Linked DNA regions of Macaca fascicularis. The protein of the gene in region 7 purifies or fractionates together with the protein of the main gene of each other region. This does not show direct contact. Links are inferred from orthologs where the notes say so. Each region holds a gene or a part of one and is shown on either strand. Other genes may lie near its edges. The genes, in order: FKBP5, CARD11, USP18, RIPK1, PELI3, XIAP and MAP3K7.

What was found.
Region 1: the proteins of MAP3K7 (region 7) and FKBP5 purify together in Homo sapiens (affinity purification with mass spectrometry; 4 studies listed by BioGRID and IntAct, with this or other methods). This does not show direct contact. The link is inferred for Macaca fascicularis from reciprocal best matches to the Homo sapiens genes MAP3K7 and FKBP5.
Region 2: the proteins of MAP3K7 (region 7) and CARD11 purify together in Homo sapiens (affinity purification with western blotting; 3 studies listed by BioGRID). This does not show direct contact. The link is inferred for Macaca fascicularis from reciprocal best matches to the Homo sapiens genes MAP3K7 and CARD11.
Region 3: the proteins of MAP3K7 (region 7) and USP18 purify together in Homo sapiens (affinity purification with western blotting; 4 studies listed by BioGRID, with this or other methods). This does not show direct contact. The link is inferred for Macaca fascicularis from reciprocal best matches to the Homo sapiens genes MAP3K7 and USP18.
Region 4: the proteins of MAP3K7 (region 7) and RIPK1 purify together in Homo sapiens (affinity purification with western blotting; 5 studies listed by BioGRID, with this or other methods). This does not show direct contact. The link is inferred for Macaca fascicularis from reciprocal best matches to the Homo sapiens genes MAP3K7 and RIPK1.
Region 5: the proteins of MAP3K7 (region 7) and PELI3 purify together in Homo sapiens (affinity purification with western blotting; 3 studies listed by BioGRID and IntAct, with this or other methods). This does not show direct contact. The link is inferred for Macaca fascicularis from reciprocal best matches to the Homo sapiens genes MAP3K7 and PELI3.
Region 6: the proteins of MAP3K7 (region 7) and XIAP purify together in Homo sapiens (affinity purification with western blotting; 3 studies listed by BioGRID). This does not show direct contact. The link is inferred for Macaca fascicularis from reciprocal best matches to the Homo sapiens genes MAP3K7 and XIAP.

What each region holds. Positions count from the first base shown.
Region 1 is NC_088378.1:136,068,637-136,073,035, forward strand, and holds part of FKBP5 (peptidyl-prolyl cis-trans isomerase FKBP5), read left to right. Parts: intron 1-602; coding exon 603-717; intron 718-4,399. UniProt on the Homo sapiens protein: Immunophilin protein with PPIase and co-chaperone activities. Component of unligated steroid receptors heterocomplexes through interaction with heat-shock protein 90 (HSP90).
Region 2 is NC_088377.1:36,473,205-36,477,603, reverse strand, and holds part of CARD11 (caspase recruitment domain-containing protein 11), read left to right. Parts: intron 1-769; coding exon 770-922; intron 923-1,568; coding exon 1,569-1,694; intron 1,695-2,343; coding exon 2,344-2,541; intron 2,542-4,399. UniProt on the Homo sapiens protein: Adapter protein that plays a key role in adaptive immune response by transducing the activation of NF-kappa-B downstream of T-cell receptor (TCR) and B-cell receptor (BCR) engagement.
Region 3 is NC_088384.1:34,026,658-34,030,256, forward strand, and holds part of USP18 (ubl carboxyl-terminal hydrolase 18), read right to left. Parts: intron 2,635-3,599; coding exon 2,555-2,634; intron 2,265-2,554; coding exon 2,118-2,264; intron 15-2,117; coding exon 1-14. UniProt on the Homo sapiens protein: Interferon-induced ISG15-specific protease that plays a crucial role for maintaining a proper balance of ISG15-conjugated proteins in cells. Regulates protein ISGylation by efficiently cleaving ISG15 conjugates linked via isopeptide bonds.
Region 4 is NC_088378.1:169,978,484-169,982,882, reverse strand, and holds part of RIPK1 (receptor-interacting serine/threonine-protein kinase 1), read left to right. Parts: intron 1-37; coding exon 38-266; intron 267-2,368; coding exon 2,369-2,518; intron 2,519-4,399. UniProt on the Homo sapiens protein: Serine-threonine kinase which is a key regulator of TNF-mediated apoptosis, necroptosis and inflammatory pathways.
Region 5 is NC_088388.1:7,921,833-7,926,231, forward strand, and holds part of PELI3 (E3 ubiquitin-protein ligase pellino homolog 3), read right to left. Parts: intron 2,115-4,399; coding exon 1,985-2,114; intron 997-1,984; coding exon 895-996; intron 125-894; coding exon 1-124. UniProt on the Homo sapiens protein: E3 ubiquitin ligase catalyzing the covalent attachment of ubiquitin moieties onto substrate proteins. Involved in the TLR and IL-1 signaling pathways via interaction with the complex containing IRAK kinases and TRAF6.
Region 6 is NC_088395.1:130,129,796-130,134,194, forward strand, and holds part of XIAP (E3 ubiquitin-protein ligase XIAP), read left to right. Parts: intron 1-2,981; coding exon 2,982-3,182; intron 3,183-4,399.
Region 7 is NC_088378.1:84,781,434-84,786,615, forward strand, and holds the start of MAP3K7 (mitogen-activated protein kinase kinase kinase 7), read left to right. Parts: upstream 1-1,963; 5' UTR 1,964-2,171; coding exon 2,172-2,291; intron 2,292-5,182. UniProt on the Homo sapiens protein: Serine/threonine kinase which acts as an essential component of the MAP kinase signal transduction pathway. Plays an important role in the cascades of cellular responses evoked by changes in the environment.

The DNA.
Region 1 (4,399 bases), about 51 Mb from region 7:
GTTGAAATATGCCTATGTCAAGTTGCAGGGTATTTTCATATTATAAAGGTTTATATGTCACAGATCTCACTTCTCTAGAAGTGTTTGATGGTGATAAAACATTATTCAACCTGTGTTGAAATTACATATATTTGGCAAAACTTGATTTTTAAGAACTACCCCAGCTAGGTAAAATATACCTTTAATCAGTCACAGGCCACATTCATGAAATTTATGTTTACATTTTGAGAAGGGAACTCCATAAATCCAGGGTGGGAAAGTTGTGGCCTCAGACAAACTGTTCTACACCAGCACCTTGTAAAGCTCTGGGTTTTTGCCCACAGGGTAGTGTTCCTAGTATTTCCTGTCTTTGCACCGCAGTCCCTTAGGATATAGTCCTAGACATTATCATTATGTGAAATTCTTTCCAAGTATGGAAAAGTATAGTGGGTTTTTTGTTTTTTTTTTTGCTACTTTTCCAATAATTAAGATGCATAAATGAATGTATACATTTTGAAACAGCTTTATTTTGTAAAATGAAATAATTGGTTGCCCTTGCCTTCACATATGTTAAATTGGCTTTATTTGGTCTTTTCTCATCTGAATTCCTTTTTTCTTTCTAGATTGAGCTCCTTGATTTCAAAGGAGAGGACTTATTTGAAGATGGAGGCATTATCCGGAGAACCAAACGGAAAGGAGAGGGATATTCAAATCCAAACGAAGGAGCAACAGTAGAAAGTAAGTATTAAAGTAAGAGGGAACTAGTCCTTAAAAGTTGGACCATTTATGTGGACGAAATGGAGACTTAAAAAAAATATGTTTATGGAAATGAACATATCGGCTGGGCGTGGTGACTCACGCCTTTAATCCCAGCACTTTGGGAGGTGGAGGCGGGCGGATTGCCTGAGCTCAGGAGTTTGAGACCAGCCTGGCCAGCATGGCGAAACCCCATCTCTACTAAAAATACAAAAAACTAGCCAGACGTGGTGGTGCATGCCTGTAATCCCAGCTCCTTGGGAGACTGATGCACAAGAATCACTTGAACCGGGGAGGTGGGGGTTGCAGTGAGCCAAGATGGTGCTACTGCACTCCAGCCTGGGTGACAGAGCGAGACTCTGCCTCAGAAAAAAAAAAAAGTATTGAATATATCTCAAAGATAGTCTTAGCCGGGCACAGTGGCTCACGCCTGTAATTCCAGCACTTTGGGAGGCTAAGGCAGGAGGATCTCTTGAGCTTAGGAATGCGGCAGCAGCCAGGGCAACATAGTGAGGCCCCATCTCTACTAAAAAGCATCAAGAGAATTAGTCAAGTGTGGTGACACGTCCCTGTAGTCCCAGCTACTTGGGAGGCTGAGGTGGAAGAATCACTTGAGCTCTGGAGATCAACGCTACAGCAGAGAGCCGTGATTGTGCCATTGGCTCCGGCCTGGACAACAGCAAGATTCTGTGGGAAAAAAAAAAAAAAAAAAAGTCCGGGCGTGGTGGCTCGCGCCTGTAATCCCAGCACTTTGGGAGGCCAAGGCGGGCGGATCACGAGGTCAGGAGGTCAAGACTAGCCTGCCTAACACTGGGAAAGCCGTCTCTACTAAAAGTACAAAATATTAACCAGGCATGGTGGAGGGTGCCTATAGTCCCAGCTACCCGGGAGGCTGAGGCAGGAGAATGGCGTGAACCTGGGAGGCAGAGCTTGCAGTGAGCCGAGATGGCGCCACTGCACTCCAGCCTGGGAGACAGCGAGACTCTGTCTCAAAAAAAAAAAAAAAGAATAGTTTCAGATTCAACATTTATTTAATAATTTTATTTAGTAAACATTAATTCAACATGTGTGCCAGGCATGCTACCAGCCTCTACAAACTCAAAAATGAATACAAAGTAATTCCATCCACAAGAAATTCTCAATCTATGGACTCTTTGGTGTGCCAGCAACTATATTTGTTGCCTGATATATTTGTTCGTTTATTTCTCACAGCCTTAAGAGGTAAAATTTCCTGTCCCCAGATAAGAAAAGTTAATTCAGAGATCTTAAATAAATTGCCCAGGGTTACAGAGTTACTAAACAGAGCAGTAGATTATAATCCTCTTTAGGACTCAAATCCATCTCATCAGCTGTCATCAAGATAAAAAATAGTTCATCATTTAGATCAATATTGGATAATAATGTTCATTCTATTCCCTATCAGTAGACCTAGGTTCAAGTCCTGCTTTGGTGTTTATTGAGTAACCTGAAGCTTTTCCGTTTCTTCATTTGCTAAGTGGGAGAAGGGGCATCTCTGAGGACTGAGATAGCTAACTCTTCTTCCCTCCCAGAGCAAATTATATATACCACTGTGTATACTACTTGTCACTTTACATTGTAATCAGTATTTGCCCATTTATCCCAATATACTATGAGTGCTTGAGGACCAGAATCTTTCTTCATCCTTTTGTTTTCAGCATTACCTGCAGTGCCTGACACACATTTGGTGTTCAGTAAAGGCTTTCTTCATAGATAAATGCTTGAGAAGTGTCATTAGTGAGCTGAAATCCTTCAAAAGAGAGTTGTGAGAAAACAGAGAAATACTTCCATTAAGAACAAAAATCAAATCATTCAACAAGGATGGGAACATGAACTATTATAAAAGTTCTGTTTAAAATAAAGATTTCAAAAAGCTAGGTGTAATGGTGTACACCTGTTGTCCCAGCTACTTGGGAGGCTGAGATGGGAGGATCACTAGAGGCCAGGAGTTCGAGGCTATAGCATGCTATGATTACACCGGTGAATAGCCAGTGCACTCTAGCCTAGGCACCATAGTGAGACCTTGACTTTAAAAAAAAAAAAAAGTAAAATAGAGTTCATTTAAACAGAAAACAAGAATAGCTGAGTTTCTTATATTTAAAGTATATACTATTTTCGGCCCATATTTCACTTCTACGAGTTTGGAAAGTCAGTTAAAATTCTGTTGTTTTGGGAAGCAGTTACAAATATTACTTATCCCAAATTGTCATTTAAGATAAGTTTTAGAATACATGAAGAGCTTTAAATGTAGAATATCAGGGAAGTAGCTCCAGACTAGGAGTTGGGAGATAGGGTTCCAGCCTCAGCCCTGGTCTCAGGCTGGCTCCAACTAGACCTCACCTCTGGGCATTAGCATCCTTCCTATGCAGTGAGGCAAGGTGGAACCGCTTAATTTTTAAGGTCCTACTAGCCCTAAAACTCCATCATAGAATTCTAAACATTTACAAAAGTTGTAGGAGTGATAGAAAATCATCTTCACTATATTAGTAAGCACTTAAGCTTGTCTATAATGTGTATTTTAAATTTTTATTATGAAAAATTTCAAATGTATATACAAAGGTAGAGGTTTACTCCTATGGATATAGGAACTCCCTAGATTCAGTAATTTATATTTTTTAACTGGAGGGTTTTGTCAACTAAGAGGGAAAACTTTTCCCAATTATGGACAATACCACAACATTACTACTGTGGAGACAACTTTAGAGCAGACTAAATTAAATCAAATCTTGCTTTTGGTAATCCTTGTGATGGGAGTCAATTTTTTTTAACTTTTTGTTTTGAAATAATTTTAGAATTACAGAAAAGTTGCGCAACTAGTATACAGTGTTCCCTTATATGCCTCACACAGCTTCCTCTAAATGTTAACATCTTACCTAATCACAGTACATTTATCAAAATCAGGAAGTTAACATTGATGTAGTACCAGTAACTGTTTTCCAGATCTTATTTGAATTTCACCAGTTACTACACTACTGTCGTTTTCTGGTCTAAGATCAAACTCAAGATCCAGCATTGTATTTACTTTTTTTTTTTTTTTTTTTTTTTTAGATGGAGTCTTGCTCTCTCACCTAGGCTGGAGTGCAGTGACGTAATCTCAGCTCACTGCAACCTCCACCTCCTGGGTTCAAGCAATTCTCCTGTCTCAGCCTCCCAAGTAGCTGGAACTATAGGCGCACGCCACCATGCCTGACTAATTTTTAATTTTTTTTAGAGACATGGTTTCACCATGTTGTTCAGGCTGGTCTTGAACTCTTGACCTCGGGTGATCCACCTGCCTCAGCCTCCCAAAGTGCTGGGATTACAGGCATGAGCCACCGCACCCGGCCTACTCTACTATTTTGAATACAACTGACCATTTTGTAGAAAATCCCTCAGTTTGGGTTTCTGGGATGTTTTTAATTAGATTGAGGTTATGCATTTTTTGAAAATACCACTGAAGTGATGTTGTACCTTTCATCATTATCAAGAGGTACATGATACTGATGTCTCATTACTGGTGATGTTACCTTGGAACACTGGGTTAAGGTGGGAAACCATGTTTCACTACTGCAAAGTTACTATTTTCCCTTTGTAATTAAAAAATACTAGGAGGGAAGTACTATCTTGTTTTATATCACAACTTTACACACTCATTTTGACATTTGCT
Region 2 (4,399 bases), on a different chromosome or scaffold from region 7:
ACGCATTTGTCAGAGACAGGAGATCATACTTGGGAAAACATGTCCTTGTTTGAAGCACTCCAGGAAAATCACCATCCATGTGGAAATCAATGCCCTGGGCACTGTGGGAAGAGACAAGGACGTCTGGGAAACCTACACGCCCTTAAAGATTTCAGAAAACTCAACTCTAAGCTCTGTGCCACTTGTTCCAACCTCAAATGCCTCCCCGCACTTGTCAAAGTGGAATCACTTGTGGGCATGGAGGAGGAAGCTGCCGAGGAGTGACATCCCAAAACATATCTGCAGGGCAAGAAAAAAAACATGCATCCTCTGGCTCCCTCCAGAACAGTCCCCACCAGGAGCGGCTGCCTGGTATTTAAGGCTCTCTTTCGGAGCCGAGGGTGAACCCAGCTTCACCAGAACAGATTCCTCAGTATTTCAGGGACAGCATCTAAAAAGCCGATCCAGCTTCCCTTTGCTGTCACCTGTGAAGTGTTCTAGGTGCACCAGTTGCTTCTCTGCGCTCTAATAAGTGCCAGGGAGAACAAAAGGCCCAGGATACTCCCAAGCAGAAGCCAGTTTTCTGCTTCTTTCCAGGCAATAAACTTCTTAAATGATAAGCTTCTTAGAGACCTCAAGGGACATACATCTCTTCTTGCCTCTACCTTCCAGACACAAAACCTTCTGCTCTGTCCGTGTCTGTTGCTGGCTCTTCTGTCCCCCACCTTCCAGGACCACCTGGCTCCCCACCCCGACCCTGACCCTGTTAAACCTCCTCCCTCCCACCCAGGCTGGAAAGCGCAGCCTGCCAGACTCCGACAAGGCCATCCTGGACATCCTGGAACACGACCGCAAGGAGGCCCTGGAGGACCGGCAGGAGCTGGTCAACAGGATCTACAACCTGCAGGAGGAGGCCCGCCAGGCGGAGGAGCTGCGGGACAAGGTGGGAGCGGGGAGCGCCTGCCCAGCAGTGCCCTTGGCCCGCCCCCTTCACACCAGGGGGCAGTGGTGTGTGTCAGCAGGACCTCCCTGACCCCACACTCCTTTCCGGGGACTAGGTCAGACCCCTGGCATAAATCCCCTGTACTTCCCAGTATTCAGCCCCTGGCAGGAGCTGCAGTTTATCAACCTGATGAGGGCCTGGGGGCAGGAGCAATGTGGGCAGAGGAGACGGTGAGGGCTTGGGATTGGGGGAACCAACATACTTGCCAATGTGTGAGTCTCAGAGCCTCACCCACACCTTGCAGATTGCAGGATCCCAGATGTGTCGGCCACCCTTGGGCATTTATAAGCTATTGCACCAGCTGAGCACCAGTGTCCCCCTCCTGATTGAGACCACACTATCCTCCCATACATTACCTGGTCTGTAGTGGGTTCATGACAATGCCAAGTTCATTGGTCCCCTACCTTGAGCCCCAGTGGTCAGATAGCCAGTTCTCAGAAGGGCAGGCCATGTCCTGACCATGCCAGCTTAGGGAGGGACAGGCCAGCTCCAGCCAGCCGGCGGGAAGGCACGAGCGGAGAACAGCTTTCAACCCTGACCTATTGATTCCTTGATGCACGTATTGATTTCTCTGTGTTGTTCACAGTACCTGGAGGAGAAGGAGGACCTGGAGCTCAAGTGCTCGACCCTGGGGAAGGACTGTGAAATGTATAAGCACCGGATGAATACGGTCATGCTGCAGCTGGAGGAGGTGGAGCGGGAGCGGGACCAGGTACAGGCACCACCTGCAGCATGCAGGGCGGCAAGACTGCACAGCGGGGCCCACACCCCAGGCCACGGGGTCCTTCAGAGTGTTTTGTCCAGTGCAATGTCACTGACAATGCAGGGATCACTCCTGAATCCATCTTTCCCATTTCTGTTCCAACGATGAATTCTATCCCAAAAGGCTTTTGGAAGTCACAGGCATTTGGGTATCAGGGGGCTCTGAGCTGAGCTCCAGCAGCTCCCACAACCAAGCATGGTTCTTAAATGTTGTCTGTTCTCTCGGGTGAGAGGATGGGTTCAGATCCAGCCCTGTCATTCATAAGGTGTATGCCACCCTGACCTCAGTGCCCTCATCTGTAAAATGAGGAAAATTACGGTAGCACCACCTCATAGGGACAGGCCGTGGCCTTCCAGGGATACTGCATCAAATCTCTCAACACGGAGCCTGCCACTAGCAAGGGTCGAACCATCGGCTCTGTGATCGTGTTATTGAAGAAGGCAGTGACTGACACACCCAGGAGTCAGGCTGCAGATGAGAGTCACAGACGATGTGGCTGGCCCCTGGGTTGGGGATGATGCCTGTCCCTGGGCCCAGCTGGAGTTGACTGGGGTGCGGCCCCCAAAGCAGCCTTTGTCCTGCTTCTTCTCCCCGGCAGGCCTTCCACTCCCGAGACGAAGCCCAGACACAGTACTCGCAGTGCTTAATCGAAAAGGACAAGTACAGGAAGCAGATCCGTGAGCTGGAGGAGAAGAACGACGAGATGAGGATCGAGATGGTGCGGCGGGAGGCCTGCATCGTCAACCTGGAAAGCAAGCTCCGGCGCCTCTCCAAGGACAGCAACAACCTGGACCAGGTGGGCTGGGACAGGCAGGGCTCACGTCTGAAGCCAGGTGCCCCATGGCGCCCACTGAGGGCTGTGGCCAGTCGCCGCCTCCCCGTGGGGCCCCACATCTGAAGGCAGGTGCCCCCTGGCGCCCACTGAGGGCTGTGGCCAGTTGCCACCTCCCAGTGCAATGAATGGCTCCTTGTCCTTTGTTTAGTTTTGTTTTGTTTTTGAGACGGAGTCTTGCTCTGTTGCCCAGGCTGGAATGCAGTGGCACCATCACAGCTCACTGCAGCTTCAAACTCCTGGGCTCAAGCCATCCTCCCACTTCAGCCTCCCGGGTAACGGGACTAAAGGCACACACCACCATGCCTGACTAATTTTGTATTTTTTTATACAGACAAGGTCTCACTGTTTCCCAGGCTGGTCTTAAACTCCTATCCTCAAGCGATCCTCCCGCTTCAGCCTCCCAAAGTGCTAGACTTACAGCCATGAGCCACTGTGCCCGGTCGGCCCTTCATATTTTTGAAGCCAGAAGTTCCCTCCCACACCCAGCATAATCCACATCTTTTAGTCTTGTGTTTGTGTCTGTTTAGTGATGAGTAGAAGCCACTCATTTTGAAGTTAGAAGATGCAGGGTAGGGCTGGGCACAGTGGTTCATGCCTCTAATCTCAGCATTTTGGGAGGCTGAGGTGGGAGGATCGCTTTAGGACAGGAGTTCAAGACCAGTCTGGGCAACAGAGTGAAAATTTTTTTTAATTTAAAAAATTAAAATTAAAAACATAAATAAGAAGATGCAGGGGGCTGGACGCGATGGCTCATGCCTGTAATCCCAGCACTTTGGGAGGCTGAGGCGGGTGGATCATGAGGTCAGGAGTTCGAGACCAGCCTGACCAACATAGTGAAACCCCGTCTTTACTAAAAATACAAAAAAATTAGCTAGATATGGTGGTGTGTGCCTGTACTCCCAGCTCCTCGGGAGGCTGAGGCAGGAGAATTGCTTGACCCCAGAAGGCAGAGGTTGCAGTGAGCCGAGATTTTGCCACTGCACTCCAGCCTGGTGACAGAGCAAACCTTCGTCTCAAAAAACAAAAAGAAGAAGATGCAGGGTCAAGCCTGACCCAGCCACTTCCTGGCTGAGCAGCCTCCCCGCTTAGGAGCCTCAGTGCCCTCTCAGTTGACCACAGCCAGCTGCTGGCCTCCTACTAGGGTTCCCCCGCACACCTGAACGGTCACTGGGTTTAAGACACCCTGCGGTCATTAGGGTTCCTAGTGCCTGTGAGTAAACCCTCATTTATCGACAATGTGAATTGCAGAGTGCATTTCCCAGCAGTGCCCCAGGCACTGAGAAGTGAAGGAATGCCTCCTCCAGGGTAGATGTTATCACTTTTATAGCTGTGGGTTTACTGAGCGCAGTCACGTGCAGGTGCCACGCAACGTGCCCCCTGCGCGTTACCTCATTTACCCCACAGAACTGTCCTGCATGGAAAGCACATGCTCAGTGTCCTCATTTACAAAAGAAGGGACCCTGACTGGGTGCGGTGGCTGAGGCCTGTAATCCCAGCACTTTGGGAGGACCCGCATTCCCGGCTGCAGTTACAGCGTGAATACAGGCCTGGCACGTAGCCCATCGTGCTGCCAGCAGGCCGTGTCCGGCACTTCCACCGTCTGCAGAGTGGGAGTCAAGGACCAGCAGGCGGGTAATGAGATGCGCCAAGGTGGGCTGTGCGTACCCAGGAGTGTTCCGCTGCTATTCTGAGTCCCTGAAGGATTTTGCACAGGGAGTGGGACAAGACGCTTTGAGTTTGGAGGCAGCGCAGCATGAGGGTGCCATGTGGCTTTGCGGGCCACGTAGTTCCTTCATGCCACAGCACTCCGCTCCCTATT
Region 3 (3,599 bases), on a different chromosome or scaffold from region 7:
TGCAGGGCGTCCTCCTGTCCCACCCAAGAGAACAGGGAAAAAGCAGTGTTGGTATTTCCCACCTAGAGTACTCTATTCTGTTCTCACACTGCTGTGAGACAACAGCTAAGACTGGGTAATTTATAAGAAAAGAAGTTTAATTGGCTCATGGTTCCACAGGCTGACCAGAAGCATGGCAGCATCTGCTTCTGGGGAGGCCACGGAAGCTCCCAGTCATGGCGGAAGGCCAAGCAGGAGCAGGCGTCTTACATGGGAGAAGTAGGTAGAGAGCGAGTGGGGAGCTGGAGTGCAGTGGTGAGATCTCAACTCACTGCAACCTCCACCTCCTGGGTTTAAGCGATTCTCCTGCCTCAGCCTCCCAAGTAGCTGGGACTACAGGCTGCACCACCATGCCCAGCTAATTTTTGTATTTTTAGTAGAGACAGGGTTTTATCATGTTGGCCAGGCTGGTCTCAAACTCCTGACCTCAGGTGATCGACCCACCTCAGCCTCCCAAAGTGCTGGGATTACAGGCACCACCCACCCTGGCTCCACACCTTTTTTTTTTTTTTTTTTTTTTTTTTTTTTGAGACGGAGTCTGGCTCTGTCGCCCAGGCTGGAGCGCAGCGGCTGGATCTCAGCTCACTGCAAGCTCCGCCTCCCAGGTTCACGCCATTCTCCTGCCTCAGCCTCCCAAGTAGCTGGGACTACAGGCGCCCGCCACCTCGCCTGGCTAGTTTTTTGTATTTTTTAGTAGAGACGGGGTTTCATCGTGTTAGCCAGGATGGTCTCGATCTCCTGACCTCGTGATCCACCCGTCTCGGCCTCCCAAAGTGCTGGGATTACAGGCTTGAGCCACCAGGCCCGGCCATGGCGCCACACTTTTAAACAACCAGATCTCATGAGAACTCACTCACTGTCACAAAGACAGTACCATGGGGGATAGTGCCAAACCATTCAGGAGAAAACCTCCCCCATGGTCCAATCTCCTTCCACCAGACTTTACCTCCAACACTGGGGATTACAACTGAACAGGAGATTTTTGGGCAGGGACACAGACCCAAACTGTATCAGGTACAGCCTCCCCACACTTTGCAGCTGAGGGTTTCAGCTTTTCTTCTGGTTCTCCTCATATCCCCCTTAATGCCTGGCCTGGTGTGGTCCATTTGGCAGGATCTCAAACGGCACCTGCTGACTGGAGGAACAAAACAGGATGGGGCTCCTACTAAGGGAGCAGTATGAGGGAGGTGGAGGTAGGAGGGAAAAGCATTTTTGCCAAAACAAAGGAGAAACTGGCCAGAGCCATGAAAATGAAATAAGTGACTTTTCAGAAGCCAGAGATGAGGCAAGGGGGAGTTGGTCACACTGTGTTGTGTGGTTCGATGGTTTCCCCAAAACCCATGTTGAAACTGAATCCCCAATGTGGCTGTATGGAAAGGTGGGGCCTTTGAGAGATAATTGGGGAGGGCAAGGTGGCTCATGCCTGTAATCCCAGGGAGGCTGAAGCAGGTGGATCGCTTGAAGTCAGGAGTTTCAGACCAGCCTGGCCAACATGGTGAAACTCCAACTCTACTAAGGATACAGAAATTAGCTGGGCATGGTGGCGGGCCCCTGTAATCCCAGCTACTTGGGAGGCTGAGGCAGGAGAATCGCTTGAACAGCAGAGGCGGAGGTTGCAGTGAGCTGAGATTGTGCCACTGCACTTCAGCCTGGGTGACAGAGGAAGACTCTGTCTCCAAAAAAAAAGCGGGGGTTATTGTGTCATGAGGGGCACAGCCTTCATGAATGAATTAATCCACTCATGGATTAAAGGGTTAATGGGTTATCCTGGGAGTGGGACTGGTGGCTTCATATGAATAGGAAGAGAGACTCCAGCTGGCGGCACATTAGCACGCTCAGCCCCCTCGCCATGTGATGCCCTGCACTGCACTCGCCATGTGATGCCCTGCACTGCCTCACCTCAGGACTCTGAGAGTCCCCACCAGCAGGCGGGCCCTCACTAGGTGCAGCCCCTCAACCAAGACTTCCCAGCCTCCAGAACTGTAAGAAATAAATTACCTAGTCTCAGATATTGAGTTATCACAACAGAAATGGACTAACACATATGGGGGCAGCAAATACCAAGAGAATCCCCTTACCAGTGTCTTCAGGGGCTTTGAGTTCACATCAAAAAGAGACAGTGGAAGGGTAAGCATGCTGCTGTTTCTGCTACTCTCCATGGCACAGTCGAGGCAAATCAAGGAGTCCTTCACCCGGATCATATACAGGGCCTGCAGCCTCTCCACCTGCAAGAGGGAGAGCAGAGAGGTGAGATGGGAACAGCACCATAAGCCAGGTCAGGCCAATTGCAAGAAGGTGGAGCCAAGAGACAGAAGCTCTAGAAATGGTAGCCACTAATGCTCTTTGGCCTACTCACAAAGGTGCAAAATATTACCAGTAACAATATTATGAAACTGTGATAAGTGTTTTATGTGGATTAACTCTCTTATTCCTCTACACACTACAGGAACAACAGCTGAATGAGTTAAATGAGCAGCATCTTAAGCTTCCGAGTGCTCTGGTTCTAGGTTCTTACCAAGTGCACATCAGTGATCTGGTCCTTGATCAGGTTCCAGAGTTTGAGGTAGAGTTGGGCGGCATCATGCTGGACAAACACTAGCCACAGAGAAAAGGAACAGCCAATTAGTGAGGTCTTCAGAGTCACTTCTCATGCCCTAGTATCTAGACATACATGAATACTCACCATTTTGTCTCTTCCTAGCCCTCCACCCCACTGCAAGGCTAAGTTGGCACTATATAAGAGGTGATCAATAAACGAACAGTAAGTTTGGTATTGATTTTTGAGAACGCCTCTTGAAACTTAAGCTCCAGTGCCAGGTGTAGTGACTCATGCCTATAATCTTAACACTTCAGGATGCCAAGGCAGGAGGATCGCTTGAACTCAGGAGTTTGAGACCAGCCTGGGCAACAAAGCAAGACTCTGTCTCTATAAAAAATTTTAAAAATTAGTTGAGCATAGTGGTGCACACCTGTAGTCAGAGCTACTTGGGAGGCTGAAGCAGGAGGATCACTTGAGCCCAGGATGTTGAGGCTACAGTGAGATGTGATGTCACCACTGCACTCAGCCTGGGGAATGAGATGTCCACAGGGACTCTGAAAAGCACTGATACATTCCTGAGGATCTAGAAGGCCAGGCGCATGCCCAAGTAAGACCCGAAAGGGCTCCAATCCCTCCCCTCTGGCTGACCACAAGGCCACGTGCAAGAAAACAATGAAGGCAAATACAGAATCATAAACTGCCCAGTAACAATAAAACAGCAACAACAACAAACCCTGGTGTGGGCATCTCTGATGTCCAGTGTTGCCACCTTACATCATCTAAAATGTTCATTTTCCAACAAAAGAGACAAGACACACAATGAAACGGAAAAGTATGGCCACATACAGGAAGACAGCAATCAGTAGAACCTTTCACTGAGAAGCCCTAGATGTTGGCTTTACTAAACAAAGACTTTAGCTGTTATAATATGTTCAAAGAATTAAAGAAAACCATGTCAAAAGAAGTAAAAGAGCCGGGCGCAGTGGCTCACGCCTGTAATCCCAGCACTTTGGGAGGCCGA
Region 4 (4,399 bases), about 85 Mb from region 7:
TCACCAAATAATCCCCGTGGCTCGATGTCTTTCGCAGATCGCAGACCTCGGCCTTGCTTCCTTTAAGATGTGGAGCAAACTGAGTAAAGAAGAGCACAATGAGCTGAAGGAAGTGGACGGCACCTCTAAGAAGAACGGCGGCACCCTCTACTACATGGCGCCCGAGCACCTGAACGACGTCAACGCAAAGCCCACGGAGAAGTCAGATGTGTACAGCTTTGCCGTCGTACTTTGGGCGATATTTGCAAATAAGGAGCCATATGAAAGTAAGGCATTAGAGGAGTGGGGTTTGATATGAACCAACACTGCCATATGAAGTAATGGGCTTCAGTGAAATCAGTTAAGGTTTATAATTGTTTATTCTTTTAATGTCAGTCTTGCTTGCTAAACTGTGAGTTCCGTGAGGGCAAGGACCATATCTGATTTATCCTCTGCTGTCTCCTCAGCATCTACACTCACTGTGCCTGGAACTAATAGGTGCCCAGTAAATTTTTGTTGAATGAATGAGTAATCCCATTTAGGAATCAGTGATCATAGGATGAATAGGACTCTTGATAACGTGTCATTAGCTTGAGAGATGCTGTAAAATTCCAGGGTTCTTCCTAGACAGGAAAGTTGATTGTTTCTGCTTGTGAGGACTTAGTCTTTCACACTACAAGGCATACACTTCATACTTTCACTCATTCACTTACTCCTTCATTCAAGAATTCTTTCTTTTCAGTCCCTACTGTGGGCACTTTAGTCGGCACCGGGAATATAAAGATGAGTAAGTCGTGGCTTGTGTAGGAGAACAGAGACACTCTTCAGTTTGTTAAGTGCATAAACTAATGGATGTTTCCCTACATACTCATCTTGGGTGATCATCAGCTCCCGTGGTTTGATGATCATCTCTTTGCAAATGCTTCTTAAATCTGTGTCTCTGGCTCTGGCCTGGATATCCACTTGTCTTATGGTCAGATCCATTGCAGGCACCAAAGGAACCTCCAAAGCAGCATCCCCCAAACACACCCATCTTGTCGACACTGTCCTGCAGCTCGCCCTGCTTCACTCCTCTTCATATGCTCAGGAAGTGGCATGGCCATCCTTTTACCAAGTTGCCCAATAAGAAACCTTAGAGTCATCCCAGACTTGCCCTTGCCTCTCTCTCCCACATTCTATCAGATCTCAAAACCTATGAATTCAAGATATATATATGACTCAAGATATATCTGCAACCCATCTGCCTCTCTCTGTCCCCACTGGCCTCTGCTTAGTTCAAACCCTCACTGTTTCTGCGGCAGGCTCCTTCCACTGTCCACCATTCATGTGGCAGCCAAAATGGTCGTCCTAAAAGGCACATGTGACCCTTTCCCTCACATACTGGAAATCCTTCCCAGATGCTCCATGGTGTTCAGGATGAAGTTCGAATTCCTTAGTGTGGAATATTCTGGCCTTTGCTTCTCTACTGGCCTCATCCCTGACCCTCCCTTCTTTGTCAGTTAGACTGAGTGAGGAATTTCTGGGATGTGTCATGATCTCTGTGACTTCTAGTCTGTTGATATCCTGCTTCTCTTGCCTGGAGTTCTCCTCCTTAAGTCCCCCTTTCCCATTCTTTACCTGCTAATTTTTCTGGACTCAACAAAGCCTTCCTGGATCTTTTTAGTCAGGGTTGTGCTACTGGAGCCCCTTGTACATTCTTTTTTTTTTTTTTTTTTTTCCTTCTAAGACGGAATCTCACTCTGTCACCAGGCTGGATTGCAGTGGCGCAGTCTCAGCTCACTGCAATCTCCACCTCCCAGGTTCAAGCAATTCTCTTGCCGCAGCCTCCCGAGTAGCTGGGACTACAGGTGTGCACCACCACGCCCAGCTAATTTTTGTATTTTTAGTAGAGATGGGGTTTCACCATGTTGGCCAGGATGGTCTTGATCTCTTGACCTCGTGATCTGCCTGTCTCAACCTCCCAAAGTGCTGGGATTACAGGCATGAGCCACCGTGCCCAGCCCCATCCTTTTTGAATAGCAATGATCACTCTTGTGTTTTAAGTCACTCTCATTAACTTGAGCTCCTAAAGGCAAGGACTGTCCCATATTTGCCTTTGCACATGGAGCGTGCCACTGGCCTTGCCCACATAATCTCTGTTCCATCAGCAGGTAGCTTTGTTGAGAATTTTGTTTTATCTGCAGACATTAAGCTATTGTTTGGTCATCTCTGTAGTGGAATATGTCAGACAAAGAGCTGACATATTCCACTCTATAGAATGAGGCAGCCGTACCACAGGCATACCAGAGGCTGAAAAAAATGAGCAGTATTGTTCAAGTTCTGTCACCTTCCTGCCTGAGAGAGGAGCAAGACCTGAAAGTCTCAACCTCAGCTCCTCTTTGCTTTACAGATGCTATCTGTGAGCAGCAGCTGATAATGTGCATAAAATCGGGGAACAGGCCAGATGTGGACGACATCATTGAGTACTGCCCAAGAGAAATTATCAGCCTCATGAAGCTGTGCTGGGAAGCGAATCCAGAAGCTCGGCCGACATTTCCTGGTAAGAGCATCTTTTCTGACTGTGTAGGATGCATCCTGTGTGGTGATTTTCCCAGTAAGATGTTGTTAGGAACTTGGTTTGAATCCTCAGAAAACTGAGTTCAACTTTACTTGTGGTTTTAAACTGATTTTCTAGATTTCAAACATGTTGTTCAGTGCAAAGAAGCCATCTCTCAAAAGCATGAAGGCACATAAGGCCTTCTTGTTTCCTTTTTTTGTAACTAACTTTTTAACTTGGGTTTAAATATACATAACTTTCAAATTAACATTGTAACTGTTTTCAAGTGCACTGTTCAGGGGCAGTAAGTACAGTCCCACAGTACGTTCACTCTCCATCATCTCTCTCCCTGCCCCGGCAACCCCCATCCTACTTTCTGTCTCTACGAATTTAACTGCACTGGGTACCGTATATAAGTGGAACCATACAATGTTTGTCCTTTTGTGTCTGGCTGATTCCACCTGGCATGATGTCCTCGAGGTTCATCTGTGTTGTAGCAGATGTCAGAATTTCTTTCCTTTTCAAGGCTGAATAATATTCCATTGTATGAATAGACTGCATTTCGTTTCTCCATTCATCCGTGTATGGGCTTTCACCAGCCTTCTTTGCTTCTTCACCTCTTTTATTTCCATCCCCTCCCTTGTTTAGCTGGCATCTTTAGAAAGTATTTTGCCATTTAGACTGGCCCTGTCATACAGGGATGGGGAAAGGTGCCTGGATGTTTGCTGAGCAGTATTCTATGGTGTGGATGTACCACAGTTTAACTATTCACTCCTTGAAAGACTTGTTTCCAGTTCTTAACTGTTGGGACTAAAGCAGCTGTAAATATTCATGTACATGTTTTTGTGTGAATATAAGTCTTCATTTCTCTGGAATACCAAGGAGTGCAGTAGCTAGGTTGTATGGTAGTTTCATGTACAGTTTATTTAAAAAATTCCCAAACATTTTCCCAGAGGGGCTGTGCCATTTTATATTCGGTGTCTGCGTGATGCAGGTTCTTGCATCCTCACCAGCATTGGGTACCCAGGCTACTCACACTTCTGCTCAGCCAACTACAAATTTATTTGAGTATTCCCACAAGCCCCACTTCAGGTCTGGGAATTCATTAGAAAGACTCACAGAACTCAAGAAAACATTTTACTTATGTCTCCCCTTTTACTGTACTGGGTACAATTCAGAAACAGCCAAATGGAAGAGGTGTACAAGGTGAGGTATGGGAGGAGGGTGTACAGAGCTTCCACAGCCTTTCAGGACACACCACGTTCTGGTGCTTCTATGTGTTCAGCAACCTGAAGCTCTCCACACCTTCCCATTTAAGGTGATTTATGGAAGTTCCATTACATACGCATGATTGATTAAATCATGGTCATTGGTGCTTGAGCTTAATCTCCAGTCCCTCTCTCCTCACTGGAAGTCAAAGGTGGAGCTCAAAGTCCCAACCTTCTAATTATAGCTTGGTCTTTCTGGTTGCTAGCCCCCATTCTGAAGCTGCTTAGTTTTCTGACCCCACCCAAAAGACACTCTTAGAAGACTCCAAGGATTTTAGGTGCTACCTGCCATGAACAAAACCAGACCTTTCTGATTCTCCAAGGTGTCTTATTTTATTGTTTCCTTTCTGTTTAGGGAACTTTCCTTAATCATTCTTTTAGGATATGTCTGAACTCTGTCATTCCAAATTTTTTTTCCTTATAGGTAAGGTGTTATTTTTCTCTTGCTGCTTTCAAGACTTTGCCTTTATTTTTCAGAGATTTAGTTATTTGTCTTGGTGTGGATTCCTTTGGGTTTATTCTGTTTAGGTTTTGCTCAGCTTCTTGAATCTGTAGGTTTATGCCTCTTACCATATCTGGGAAGCTTTTGGCCATTATTTCTGTAAGTACTTTTTAG
Region 5 (4,399 bases), on a different chromosome or scaffold from region 7:
CACAGAGGATGCGGCAGGCGTAGCGAGAGATGGTGCTCTGGGCGGAAGGGCCCTCGGCAGCCCCTCCTCCAGGGGATGTGTCTGTTACCACGAAGTCAATCATGTTCTCTGTGGAGCGGCCAATCTGTGAGGACAGGGAAAGCAAGCAGCGACTGCATGTACATAGGGGACTCTCATAGGCCTCCCCACCCACAGTTCCGGCAGCTGCTCTGTATGCAAGGTCACCAAAAAAGGAGGCTGCCAGGCCCTAAGAAGGGGGCAGCACCAACTCCTTAGACCTTCTAGGCTCCCAGGTGGGGTCTCCAAGTCCAAGAAGCCATTGCCTGGAGCAGCTTCTCCTTCTCTGTTGCCCCCACAGCACTAGGGATCACCCCATTCAATAAATACAAGTTGATTTGCTGATAGAATTATAAGAGGGTGGTCAAATGTTAGCAGCACATAGCAACTTCTGAGTAACTATTTGCCATATGCCAGCCACCATGCTAAACATTTTATGTGCAATGCCTAAGTTAATCTTCCTGTGGGGTGGGTACTATTATGGGCCTCATTTTACAGATGAGTAAACCAAGGCCCACAGAACTTAAGTGATACTTCCCCAAAGTCACCCAGTGGTAAGTGATGGAGCCAAAATCTGAACACAGGCATTAGGCCTCTCACACCTGAACCCCTGAGCTGTGTGAACTCCCACCGTCTAGGAGTCTTGAGTTTGATCCTTGATACAGCCACTGGCTTGCTGTGTGACTCTGCAGTCAACAGCCCACACTGGGACATCCTGCTTCCTCGTCTGGAGGGAAGCAACTTTCCCATGGCCTCCCATCCTGTAGCCTCACCTGAAATGCTTGCAGAGCCTAGAGGCCTGGTGGCCAGGAGGTGTGTGGAGAGGCCTGAGCATACCTGGAACATGTCTGTGTCGCTATCATGTGTATACTCCACTATGACCGAGTGGCTCCGGGACAGCGTGTACGAGATGCTGTGCTGACCACGGTTACTCAGTGCCTGGGGGGAGAAAAAAGTCACTTGCCAGGGTGTGCAGCTATGATAAGTGTAAGCCTGGAGCCAGCAGCTGGAGCTCAAGGCCCAGCAGCCACTCTCCAGAAAGGGGGCAGCTCCATCCTTCGCAGAGGGTGGACAGTGCAGCGGGTGTGTCACATGATTTAAGCCCTACAATCACCTTAAGAATGGGGTTATCAGGCTGGGCGCAGTGGCTCACGCCTGTAATGCCAGCACTTTGGGAGGCCGAGGTGGGCAGATCACTTGAGGTCAGGAGTTCAAGACCAGCCTAGCCAACATAGCAAAACCCCGTCTCTACTAAAAATACAAAAAAAAAAAAAATTAGCTGGGCATGGTGGTGCGCACCTGTAGTCCCAGCTACTTGGGAGGCTGAGGCAGGAGAATGGTGTGAACCCAGGAGGTGGAGATTGCAGTGAGCTGAGATTGCACCACTGCACTCCAGCCTGGGTGACAACGAGATTCCGTCTCAAAAAAAAAAAAAAAAGAATGGGGTTATCGTTCCATTTTAGAGTTGAAGGAACTGCAGGTCACAGAGAAACTGCCCTAAAGACACACAGCTGGAAATATCAGAGGCTGAATTCTAACCCAAATCCTCTAAAGCCAAAGGTTTTTTCCTTTACCATTGCAGTATGACTGTCACCTCCCACTCTCTGAACCTTGGCTGCCTCTAAGATGGCGCAGCTCATTTCCACCCATTTCCATTGGATGGAAATAAGCAGCACCATTTTAGAGGCAGCCAAGGTTCAGAAAGGTCTGGTAGTTAAGGAAACATTGTGCAAACTGTAAAGAACTGTGCACACTGCAAAGGATTTTTCATCACCATTCTCAGGTGGCCCAATACGCAGTGAGTGATGACACAAAGTGGGCTCCCCTGTTAAGGTGGGGGGCTGTGGGCAGGTAGGACCTGGAAGGCCAAAGACCTGGGCCTTGGGCAGGGAGGGCAGGACCTCAGGTCTACAGGTCAGTTGCTTGCCTTGGAGACGAGCGGCGTGGAGATGTGGTGCATGACATCTGGCTTCACTCCGTTGGCATGCGGACGGCGGCTCAGTGCCAGGCGGCTTCGCCGGCGGCCCTTGTCCCCACTTGCCAGACACCCATTGTAGCTGTAGATGTTGGAGGTCAAGAAGAAAGGGTTGTAAGAGGAGAAAGAGAAAGAGGGAAAGTGAACCCCTGATGAAACTTGGGGGAAACTGCCAACTTCTGGGCAGATCCTACCTTAATAAACAAGCTCTAGAAGCACCTGAAACTAGAAGACCCTACAATAACAAATCGGTACCTTGGGGAGTGGGCAGGGGGTGTCAGAACAGTTTCAAAAGCACTTTCATTCAGTTAACCAAGTATTTCCTGGACACTTGAGCCATGCCTGGATGGGTGCTGTGCACTGGGGCAGTAGAGGTGACGCACCACGGGTCAGCTGTGGGCCCTCAGTGGAGGGGTTCCTCAGCTTCTCCAGGAACCTAGGTGCCACCTGCCACACCCAGGCACAAGTCAAGGATGCCATAAGCCTAGAGGAAGAAAAGGGAATTCTGGCCCTAGCATGAGGTTTCTGGGAGAGGGAACACCTCTACTGGGTTTTGAAGAACTAGAAAGGGTTCACCTGTAGCAAATTGTCACTTATCACACCACTACTCAAAACCAAAACGAAAGGAAAAACTGACCCACAATGCCACTACCTCTATATATCCACACATGTCCAATTTCCACCTGCCTTTCCATCTCTTGTCCGGAAGGGATGGCTGTGAGAGGCACAGAGGAGGTGAGTCATAGCTCTCATCGCTGCCATGGGCTGCTGCCTCCGTGTTCCTGGCCTTCATGTTATCAATCACCTAATGGAATCTGTGCAGTGGCCTGCCAGGCAAGTGGCTTTCTGCCCATCTTACAAATGAGAGAAATCAAGGCTCAGGGAGGTAAAGTGACTTGCCTCTGGCTAGTAGGTGAAAATGTCCAGATTCGAGCCCAGTCTCTCTGACTCCAGAAGCACCTCTAGATGGAGGCTCACCCTAAGCAAAGGGCCCAAGGCTGGCAGGATCTGATGAGATCAGGGAATGGTGACTTTGGTGGTGAAGTATGTGGGGGAGATGATGCTGGTGGGAGGGCTCTGAACTCCAGGCTGAGGACATTATTTTGTAACCAGTGGGGTGCCAGGAAGGTTTGGGAACAGGAAGTGACAGGACAAAGAGCTGCCAAATACAGACAAGGCCACTTGAATCAGAATCTTCTAGTGAGTTTGTTAAAATCCAGATGAGGCCAGGCGCAGTGGCTCACAACTGTAATCCCAGCACTTTGGGAGACCAAGGTGGGCAGATCACTTGAGGTCAGGAGTTCAAGACCAGCCTGGCCAATATAGCGAAACCCCGTCTTTACCAAAAATACAAAAACTAGCCAGGCATGGTGGTGGGTGCCTGTAATCCCAGCTACTCAGGAAGCTGAGGCAGGAAAATCACTTGAACCCAGGAGGTGGAGGTTGCAGCGAGCTAAGATCGTGACACTGAACTCCAGCCTGGGCGACAGAGCAAGACCCTGTCTCCCCTGCCGCAAAAAGAAAAAAAAAAAAATCCAGATTCCTTGGTCCCACCCATTGTGACTGTGATTCTGTAGGCTTGGAGAGGGCCTGTCAATGTGTATTTTCAGTGCCCTCCAGCCAGCTCTGATGTGCAGCCAATGTGGACTCTGCTGTGCAAAGGGGCTGCCAGGAGGGCCCATACCCGTGGGTCTGCAGCCTCCCACATTAGTGGCCTTGCCTTGGGCTGGAAAGCCAGTCCTGCCTTTGGGATACAAAGCAGCTGCTTTTTCAAGGCAAGCTCTCCCAAGGGAGACATCACTTTTGCCCTTGTGAGCTCTTCCCACACATCAGGGGCGGGGGTGGGCAGGCCCCGAGGTGGGGCAGTTCAGGACACAGACTTGGGACACAGATGGGCCTGGCTTAAATCTGGCTCTTCCACTTATCACATGACCTCTGTAAAATGGAGCTAATTTTTTAGGACCTACCCCGCAGGTTCATTTTGAGAACTAAATGAGACAAAGCATTTAAAAGTGCTTAGCACAGAGTTTGGCATATTTATAGGAAGCCCTTGATAAGTGCTTTTTTTTATTTTCTATTACTGCTTTTTTTTTTTTTTTTTTGGTAAAAAAAGCACATGTCAACAAACAGCCATTTTAAAAAAATAATCTTGGCCGGGCACGGTGGCTCAAGCCTGTAATCCCAGCACTTTGGGAGGCCGAGATGGGGTGGATCACGAGGTCAGGAGATCGAGACCATCCTGGCTAAAACGGTGAAACCCCGTCTCTACTAAAAAATACAAAAAACTAGCCGGGCGAGGTGGCGGGCGCCTGTAGTCCCAGCTACTCGGGAAGGCTGAGGCAGGAGAATGGCATGAACATGGGAGGC
Region 6 (4,399 bases), on a different chromosome or scaffold from region 7:
TGTATTGGTTAATAGTACCACAGTTCACAAGGTTGCCCAGTAATTTATGTGTTCCTAAGCTCTTTGCTCTCTGTAATCCTTTTACATTTAATTAATCATCAAATTTGATGGATTCCACCTTTTTAATGTTGCTTCAGACTTTCCCACTTACTCTGCTCTAGTTCAGGCCCTTCCTTGTTTTTCATCTGGACAATTGTAGTAGTCTCCTAACTGGTCTTTTTTCTATATTATAACCTCCCAAGAGGTTTTCTTTTTTTTTCTTTTTTTTTTTTTTTTTTAGACGGAGTCTTGCTCGATCGCCCAGGCTACAGTGCAGTGGCATGATCTCGGCTCACTGCAACCTCTGCCTCCCAGGTTCACGCCATTCTCCTGCCTCAGCCTTCCGAGTAGCCGGGACTACAGGCGCCCATCACTATGCTTGGCTAATTTTTTTTTGTATTTTTAGTAGAGACGGGGTTTCACTGTGTTAGGATGGTCTCGATCTCCTGACCTTGTGAACCGCCCGCCTCAGCCTCCCAAAGTGCTGGGATTACAAGTGTGAGCCACCATGCCTGGCCCAGAGTTGTGTTTTTTTTTGTTTGTTTGTTTGTTTTGAGACGGAGTCTTTGGTCTGTCACCCAGGCTGGAGTGCAGTGGCGCGATCTTGGCTCACTGCAAGCTCCGCCTCCTGGGCTCACGCCATTCTCCTGCCTCAGCCTCCCGAGTAGCTGGGACTACAGGCGCCCGCTACCACGCCCAGCTAATTTTTTGTATTTTTAGTAGAGACGGGGTTTCACCGTGTTAGCCAGGATGGTCTCGATCTCCTGACCTTGTGATCCGCCCGTCTCGGCCTCCCAAAGTGCTGGGATTACAGGCGTGAGCCACCGCGCCCAGCAAGAGTTTTTTTTTTTTTTTTATCAAAACACACATCTTAAGTTACTTTCCTACCGTAAAAATATATTTTGTTATTTACTATATATGTTCTTTATACTCGAATCTCTATATCTCTTCCTTTCCAGCCTCCTCTATTTATTTACTTATTTATTTATTTAGATAGCATCTCGCTCTGTCGCCAAGGCTGGAGTGCCATGGTGCAGTCTTGGCTCACTGCAGCCTTCGCCTCCCAGGCTCACAGTATCTTCCAGTCTTAGCCTGCAGAGTAGCTGGGACCACAGGCGTGTGCTGCCATACCCAGCTGATTTTTATATTTTTTACAGAGACAGGGTTTTGAACTCCTAGGCTCAAGCTATCTGCCTATCTTAGCCTCCTGAAATGCTGGGACTACAGATGTGAGCCACCATGCCCAGCCTTATGTTTTATTTTTATTTTTTAATAGAGACAGGGTCACACTTTGTTGACCAGGGTGGTTTCAAACAGCAGACCTCAAAGAATCCCCCTGTCTTGGCCTCCCCAAAGTGCTGGGATTACAGGTATGAGCCACTGCACCCGGCCTCCTCTCTTTCAAAAAAACATTTATTGAGCTATAATATACATATAGTAGCCAGGTGTGGTGGCTCACGCCTGTAATTCCAGCACTTTGGGAGGTCGAGGAGGGTAGATCACAAGGTCAGGAATTTGAGACCAGCTTGGCCAATATAGTGAAACCCCGTCTCTACTAAAAATACAAAAAGCCGGGTGTGGTGGTACATGTCTGTAATCCCAGCTACTCGAGAGGCTGAGGCAGGAGAATTGCTTGAACCTGGGAGGCAGAGGTTGCAGTGAACCGAGATCACACCATTACACTCTGGCCTGAGTGACAGAGTGAGACTCTGTCTCAAAAAAAAAAAAAAATATATAGATATATATATGTATGTATGTATATATACACACACACACATACAGTAAAGTGCTTAAAGTACCCTAATCATAAGTTTTCTACTTGATGAATTTTAACGTATGTATGTTAAAATATATATTAAATAAAATATGTGTTAAATATATATTAAAATGTGTCTGTTAAAATATATATATTTATCTGTGTAACTATCCCCCAGATTAAGACATAGAACATTTCCACAACCCTAGAAAGCTCTTTCATGCTCCTTCCCCATCAGTACGCACCCCCAAGTTACATTCTGGCTTCTATTACCATAGATTCATTTTGTTTATTACCATAGATTAGTTTTGAAGTTCTTATAAATGGACTCATGCAGTAGGTACTCTTGTGTCATAATGATGAATTATGATTCTGGTTTGCTCGTTATATCTATGAGATTCATCCATATTGTCTGTGGCAATAGTTTTTTTTCTTGCTGTGTAGCTTATGAATATACCACACAATCTATTCACCTGATGATGGACATTTGAGTTGTTTCCAGTTTGGGGCTATTATAAATAACACTGCTATGAATATTCCTGTGCATATCTTTGGCAGAGATATACACTCATTTTTAATACCCAAGAGTGGAATTGATGAGTCAGAGGGTATAAGTGTCCTCTCTTAGCACTTCCCTACACATGCTGTGTTCCTACTTTGAGTATCATAAAAACAGGTTTCCATTGACTTTCTTGCTTTATCCAGTCCTACCCGCTCTACTACAGAAATGAAGTTTGAGAGCTAGGAAATTGACATGTTCAAGGTTATAGACTGGGATTTCCCTAATTTACCATCATTTTCCCCAAATAATTGCTAGTGACTCAGTAACAACATCCACTCTTTAAGTACCTTAGGTTAATTGTTAAAGAGTACAGCTAGATTTAAAAAAGTTCAGATTTTTGAAGCACTTAACCTTTTTCTTGCCTGTTTTACCTTGCATCGTTTCAAACACTACAAAATACATACTCATTGCATTTACAATTAATTGTAAGATTCTGAAAGTGATTTTTCAGTGCCTGAATACTTCAAAAAATCTTCCCAAAGCAGCTTTGCTTTGCTGGTTTGTTTTTGTTCTTTTGCTTGCTGCTGAATTTTTTCATTTTAACTATATTTTGCTATTGAGTTGTGATAATGAAAATAATTGTTTAAATTCTATGTTCTTTTTCCTCACCAATTTTTATTTCAGATGATACCATCTTCCAAAATCCTATGGTACAAGAAGCTATACGAATGGGGTTCAGTTTCAAGGACATTAAGAAAATAATGGAGGAAAAAATTCAGATATCTGGGAGCAACTATAAATCACTTGAGGTTCTGGTTGCAGATCTAGTGAATGCTCAGAAAGACAGTACGCAAGATGAGTCAAGTCAGACTTCATTACAGAAAGGTATGCATTGCTGTTTTTAAAAAGCAAGAAAGGGCCGGATGTGGTGGCTCACACCTGTAATCCCAGCACTTTGGGAGGCTGGGGATATGGACATTTTTTAAACATAACCTTAATGCTTTGTGTTAGTCTGCTCAAGCTGCTATAATAAAATTCCATTGACTAGGTGTCTTAAACAACAGACTTATTTCTGACAGTTTCGGAGGCTCCAAAATCAAGGTGCTGGCCGATTTCGTTATTGATGAGGGCCCTCTTCCTGCCTTGCAGATGGCTGCCTTCTCACTGTGTCCTCACATGGCATGGGTTGGGGGTGGATGGGACAAGATGGAGCAAGTACTCTGGTCTCTTTTCCTCTACTTTTAGGGACACTAATCCCATCATGGGGGTCTCATCTTCATGACCTCATCCAAACTTAATTAGTTCCCAAAGGCCTCATTTCCAAATATCATTACATTAATCATGGAAAAAAGATTAAAAATATGAATTCTACCAGCCTGGGCAACATAATGAAACTGTCTCTACAAAAAATACAAAAATTAGCCGGGCATGGTGGTGTGTGCCAGTAGTCCCAGCTACCTGGGAAGCTGAGCGGGGAAGATCACCTGAGCCAGGGAGATCAAGGCTGCAGTGAGCTATGATCATGCCACTGCACTTCAGCCTGGGCAGCTGAGCGAGATCTTGTCTCAAAATATATATATATCTCCTTTAAGGATGATGGACACTATAGTGCTTGCCAACAACATCGAAGGTTAAAGAAGAGGTTTCAAACTGAGTACACTTTTGGGTACTATACCTGTAATAGTTCTCTAAGCTCTTGACTATCCTCCCTCCAAAAAGATGAGAATTCTCCTACTGCTAATAAACTTAAACATTTACTTATTTTTGACACATTTAAAATCCTTGTGATCTTTAAGATATTTCAAGTGCTTTTGAAACATTATTCAGATAATTACTTAAGTTATGAAACAGTATGAACATTAATGATATTTAAAATTATATTCATTGATGTAAGAATCAATGGAAAGCTTCCAGTTTTTCCCTTATAGATGCATTTATTTAAAACTTACACAGGCTCCACTTATCTTGGTGGTGGTAAAATAAACCCTTTACTTGGTCATCTTTCTTTCTTTATTTTTTTTAAGACGGAGTCTCACTCTGTCACCCAGGCTGGAGTGCAGTGGCACGATCTCAGCTCACTGCAACCTCTGCCTCCCCGGCTC
Region 7 (5,182 bases):
AAACATTCTTTCAACCTTTCTCTATATTTGACATTTTTGTAACAAAATTTTGGGGAAAAATAATCAAGCAGGAGAACTGCATCATGGCTGTAGTAATTAGCCCTTTGTCAAGATTCCAGTCCTAAACTGAAGGTACAGAAAACATGTCTTATACTCCAGGGAAAGGGAGGACTGACAAAAGCTATTCATTTGTACAGAATATGTAAGTATTTATTGAGTTCCCACCTGGCAGCAAGATCAAGGTGTTAAAGGGAAATCAGATATAGACCTGCAGTTATAGCACAAGGTAAGAAGTGACCATCCTTGTTTGGAAATGCAAGGGGAATGACAGGTGAAAATGACTGTGCCACTGATTAAATCAGCTTATATTGGGTATCAGTGCACCACACATCATTTCACATGCCCTGACTTCTCAGACAACCAACTGGGTGATGGCATCCTTACGTGATATAGGAAAATCACATAGAAATATATTTGTGGTGGGTGACAACTTTTGAATTTGCTGTGGTATCTTGAAGTTTAGTTGTTTATCTAAATAGAGATGTCCAATAGGTCCAGAATTCAGGAAAAATCTTGAGTATTCGGAGATTAGAAGTCATCATTATAAAAATGGTATGAGAAACAGAGACCTTGGGTAAGATCATGCAAACAAAGAGTGTACAGTGGAAAGAAATTATTGCTTCTTTCATTTTTTTATCCACTCATCAAACTGTCATTGCGAGTCACTAGAACTGTGAATAAAAAGTGACAGAACGTTTCCAAGAAGTTTGTAACTTCTTGATGGTCAAATCCAATGATCTAGTTGCAATCCCAAATGTGTTTAACATAATTCTGTACAGCATATACTTGGTTGGCTACTTCTTCATTGGAAAGCTCACCTCTGGTGATGTTCCAATTACTATTTTCCTCACTTCCTCCTTTCAGTCTCTTACTGAAACTTAGAATTTGACATTCGCAGGAATCCATCCTTGGTCTTTAAATCTTCATCTCTAACTCCAATTTTCCACAGTTAGGCTTTATGTCAAACGGACTATATAAAGTTCAACAGTTAGTTTAAAACTAAAACTTGTGCTGGTAGTACAACATGAGCAATACTGACCATCTTGGGGACAGATTGATCTAGTTTGTAAGGACCATAATTGCTTTAAACTCTGAGTGTATTTTCTCACGTCCTGAAAATGGTGATGAAAATATTTGATTTTCAAGGAGACTGTTGATGATTCATTTACCAATCTAAAGCACTAGTGCCCCGCACTCGTAATCCATAACTTGAGATGAACACACCAAAGTGTAAATATCTTATCCACCTAATCTGTGTAAAGTTTGTAACACCAAAATATTAACTTCTGTTTTTGATCACTCAGCCTCCATAGTTATTCATGTTGCATGATCTGATTCGCTCTTTTAGAATTTCTCATAGCGTCAGGGACTAGCTCAAAGTAACAGGAGCAACTGCTTCCTTCCATATCCCACATTGAGGAAAACACATTTTGCAAGCCGTCTTAAAGAAACAGGTCAACTTAGTTGAGGGATGAAACTTAAAAGCAAGCTTCGTCACAAAAAACACAGTTCAACACCACCTCGCCCGTCTGCTGGCAGCTCAAAGGAGAGAAAGAGAGGCCAAGACATACTTCACACAGCAGAGACTAAACGCCAGCTTTTATCTTTCCCGCTGGTCCTTAAGGGACCAACCGTGCTGATTTTCCGTCATGTTCCGCGCCACTTCCGTTCGCGCACTTTAATTACGTCAGGCGTCCTCTCTCGCGGTATCATCCGGTTGCTGAGGCCCTGTAATAAAGGTCTCGCGAAATTTGTTCTAGAGGTCCAAGCTTGCTTCTTAGTTTACTCCACCCCACCCCCAACCTGTCCCTCCTTTTCTTTCCAAGTCACAAAATTCTCCCCTTCCCTCCCCCGGAGTTTACGGCCCACCTCCTGTTTCCGATTTCAGCCCGGAACCGGAAGTGTAGTGGGCGGGGCCCAGCGGCGGAAAACGCAGCGGAGCCAGATCCGGACCCGGCTGTGGCCGCTGCCGCTATCCCCGCCACGGATCGCCGGGTAGCAGGACTGCGCGGCTCCAGCCTGAGGGTCGGTCCGGAGGCGGGTGGGCGTGGATCTCACCCGGATTGTCCGGGCGGCACCGCTCCCGGCCCCACCGGGCGCCGCGAGGGATCATGTCTACAGCCTCTGCCGCCTCCTCCTCCTCCTCGTCTTCGGCCGGTGAGATGATCGAAGCCCCTTCTCAAGTCCTCAACTTTGAAGAGATCGACTACAAGGAAATCGAGGTGGAAGAGGTGAGCGAGGCCCTGCATGGAGACGCCGGTACCGGCCCGGCCCGCCCCTGCCTCTGTCTGGTCCCGGCTCTGAAGGTGCCTCCCCGGCCCCTCTAATTCGCGGGACCCTGTGGGGTCCACCCGGGAGACCCAACAGCCTTCACTGACGTGGGAGTGGGGGTTACTCTCTGAGCTCAACTGCTTGGGAGTAGCTGCCTTTTTTCCTGTCTTGAGTACTCTTGCTTTTGGATTTGATATTCCGGTGATAAACAGGAGAATGAACTGGTGAGACAGTGTGGTCCTCCAGTTCTCGTATCTGTAAGTAGTAGTTTCAGCGAAGATCGTAGCCGTTCTGGAGTTTCAGTCCGCTGGACGTGAAGTTCTTAATGGCCAATAATTGTATTATGTTCGACTTCTACTTCAGTATCTGGCATGTAGGGGATGCTCAATAAATGCTTGTTAAATTAGTAGATCATCAAGTCTAATAAAGTGTTTCCCTTAGCATCGAATGGTTCTCAGTTTCTCCGATACCGCACAGCAATACTCGTAATGTTTAAACGCTCGGCTTTCAGTTGGGCTAACGTAGGTGAATTTCACCATAAGTAACACAGACTGGTCTACGATCAAAAGATGTTTCAAGTAGCATATTCTGAAGAGATAACGAATGATCGGTGACAATCAGAATATAACATTAGACTGGAAATCGCTATCAGAAAACCCATATCCTTTCTTTATTCTGCAGTAATTCATTTTAGAACAAGCTATTTCAAAGTGACTTTAAAGTGTTGCTTTTCAGATTAACAGAGAGGTAAATTGGGTTCTAATGACTATAAAATTTAGAAAAGTAAAAGCTGCATATATATTTTTTAAAGAGACTTTAGAACTTGTTAAAAACTTTGGCTGAAAATACTATATCTTACCATTTATTTGCCGTTTTTTTAATTTATTAAGCACTTGCGTTATATATCCCGTGAAAAACCTAGTGAAATATTATAGATTGTCAACAAGTTATGTCTACTTTAAAATTCTAAAATTATTTTTAAGTGTCAGCAAGTTCGAAGTAGTGAGATAACGTTCAACAAATAAATTTTTTTTTCCTGTGCATGTTTTGGAAGAGTAATGGATTACTGAATTATATACTTTTTATCACATAAAGTAACTTTAGAGATCATTGAGAACATCCTCATTTTACAAGATAATATGGTGGGAAAAGCAAGGTCTTTGGAATTAGAGGAAAGTTCAATGTATCAGATATGCCATTATTAGCTGTGTGATTTGGGGCAAGTTTCCTAACCCCTTTGAATTTTAGTTTTAGAAAGGGCTAATAAATTCTGTTTCATCTTATCTGCATAACAGATCTTAGTAGACATTATATGCAAAACACCTACCACAGGGCCTGACACATATTAGGAAACCTAGTTCCAGAGAGGAAATGTGACCTGCTTTAAGGTCACATGGCTAAAAGAAGACCTGTATTTTGAAAAGAGGGGGGAATGTTTTTAAGTTTTTTTTTTTTACATTGAGGCTATGATAAATTCCTTTTCCAGAAGTGGATAGTTGATCCAACTTTCATGGCTAATATTCTTTTTTAAGAATAAAAATTCCATGAGTCAGTATACAAGAATTGCAGTTTTTAAATAAGCGTTTACGTCTCCTCTGTGGTGAATTGCTATGCTTGTAGACTACAAATTGTTATATAATAATAACTTGTGCTTTATGGTCTACCAAATGCTTTCACAAACTTACTTCATTTGGTTCTTACAACCTTAGTTTTTGTATGCTACTTTCTAAAGCTTTTTACATTCTTGATTCATGGAAAAACAAATTACTAAGGAGGTAGTTATCATTTTGATGTTCTTCCCCTAAAGCTATTTCACTTCTGGTTAGGTTTCTGTGTTTCCAAGACCCTTCTCTCAATTTAGATAATGTTTCAATCTTTGTGTGTATGTGGGTGTGCGTGTGTTTAGGACATTTCTGGGGAGTAGGATTTTGTTTTTAGACGAAAATTTGTTTTTAATATTAGGCAGTCATTTGGGTTTTTTGTTTGTTTTATTCCCCTTCATTTTTAATACTCAGTTCATTTTTGCATTAAAGATTGTATTTGGATCTTTCTGATATTGAAAGCATTACATAATTTCCATCATGTTCTTCATTTGCATACATTAAACCAGTGTTACACAATCCAGAGTGAACCAAGGACACTTATTAGCTATTTGTCAACTTAGATTACACTTCCAGTTCAGTTGTAAGATAACAGAGGAAGATGACCAGAAACAAAAACTACTTTATGTTGCTTTCAATATTTTATATTGTATGAGAATATTACCTTCTAAATTAAGAAAATCATATTATGTATTTCTCAATATAATTGAATTGCATTATATCAATATAATTAGAAACTGTAAAAAAAAATAATTCAACCACAGGCCAAATATGCAATCATTTAGTAGATACATATTTCTAAGACATCAGCTGATCTTGCATTTCTAATATTGTAACTCAATAGTATTAGTTTGTCACATCTTAGATTCAGTTCAGTTCAATCAAATTAGGTAAAGTCTCAGCCTCAGAAATCTGCCTAGGTACTTTTTAAAAGTCATTTAGTGTTTACCATCTAGATCTGGCTGTAAAGAATATTGGAATAAAAGAGGGGATGGGTTGCAAGAAGTGTTACACAGGGTGGTATAGTGGAAAGTGTTCTGGACTGAAAATTAGAAAATGTAGATGCTGTACTGATTCTGCCATAATATATTTTTGTAACTTTGAGGAAGTCACCACGTTTTTCTGGGCCTGTGGTTACTTATGTAAACTGAGGGATTAAACAAGATCATTTAAGGTCTTTTCCAGTTCTAAAATGAAAACACATTCATTTTTTCCAGTATTTAACTGTTTTCTACAGTAACCTTAGAAGT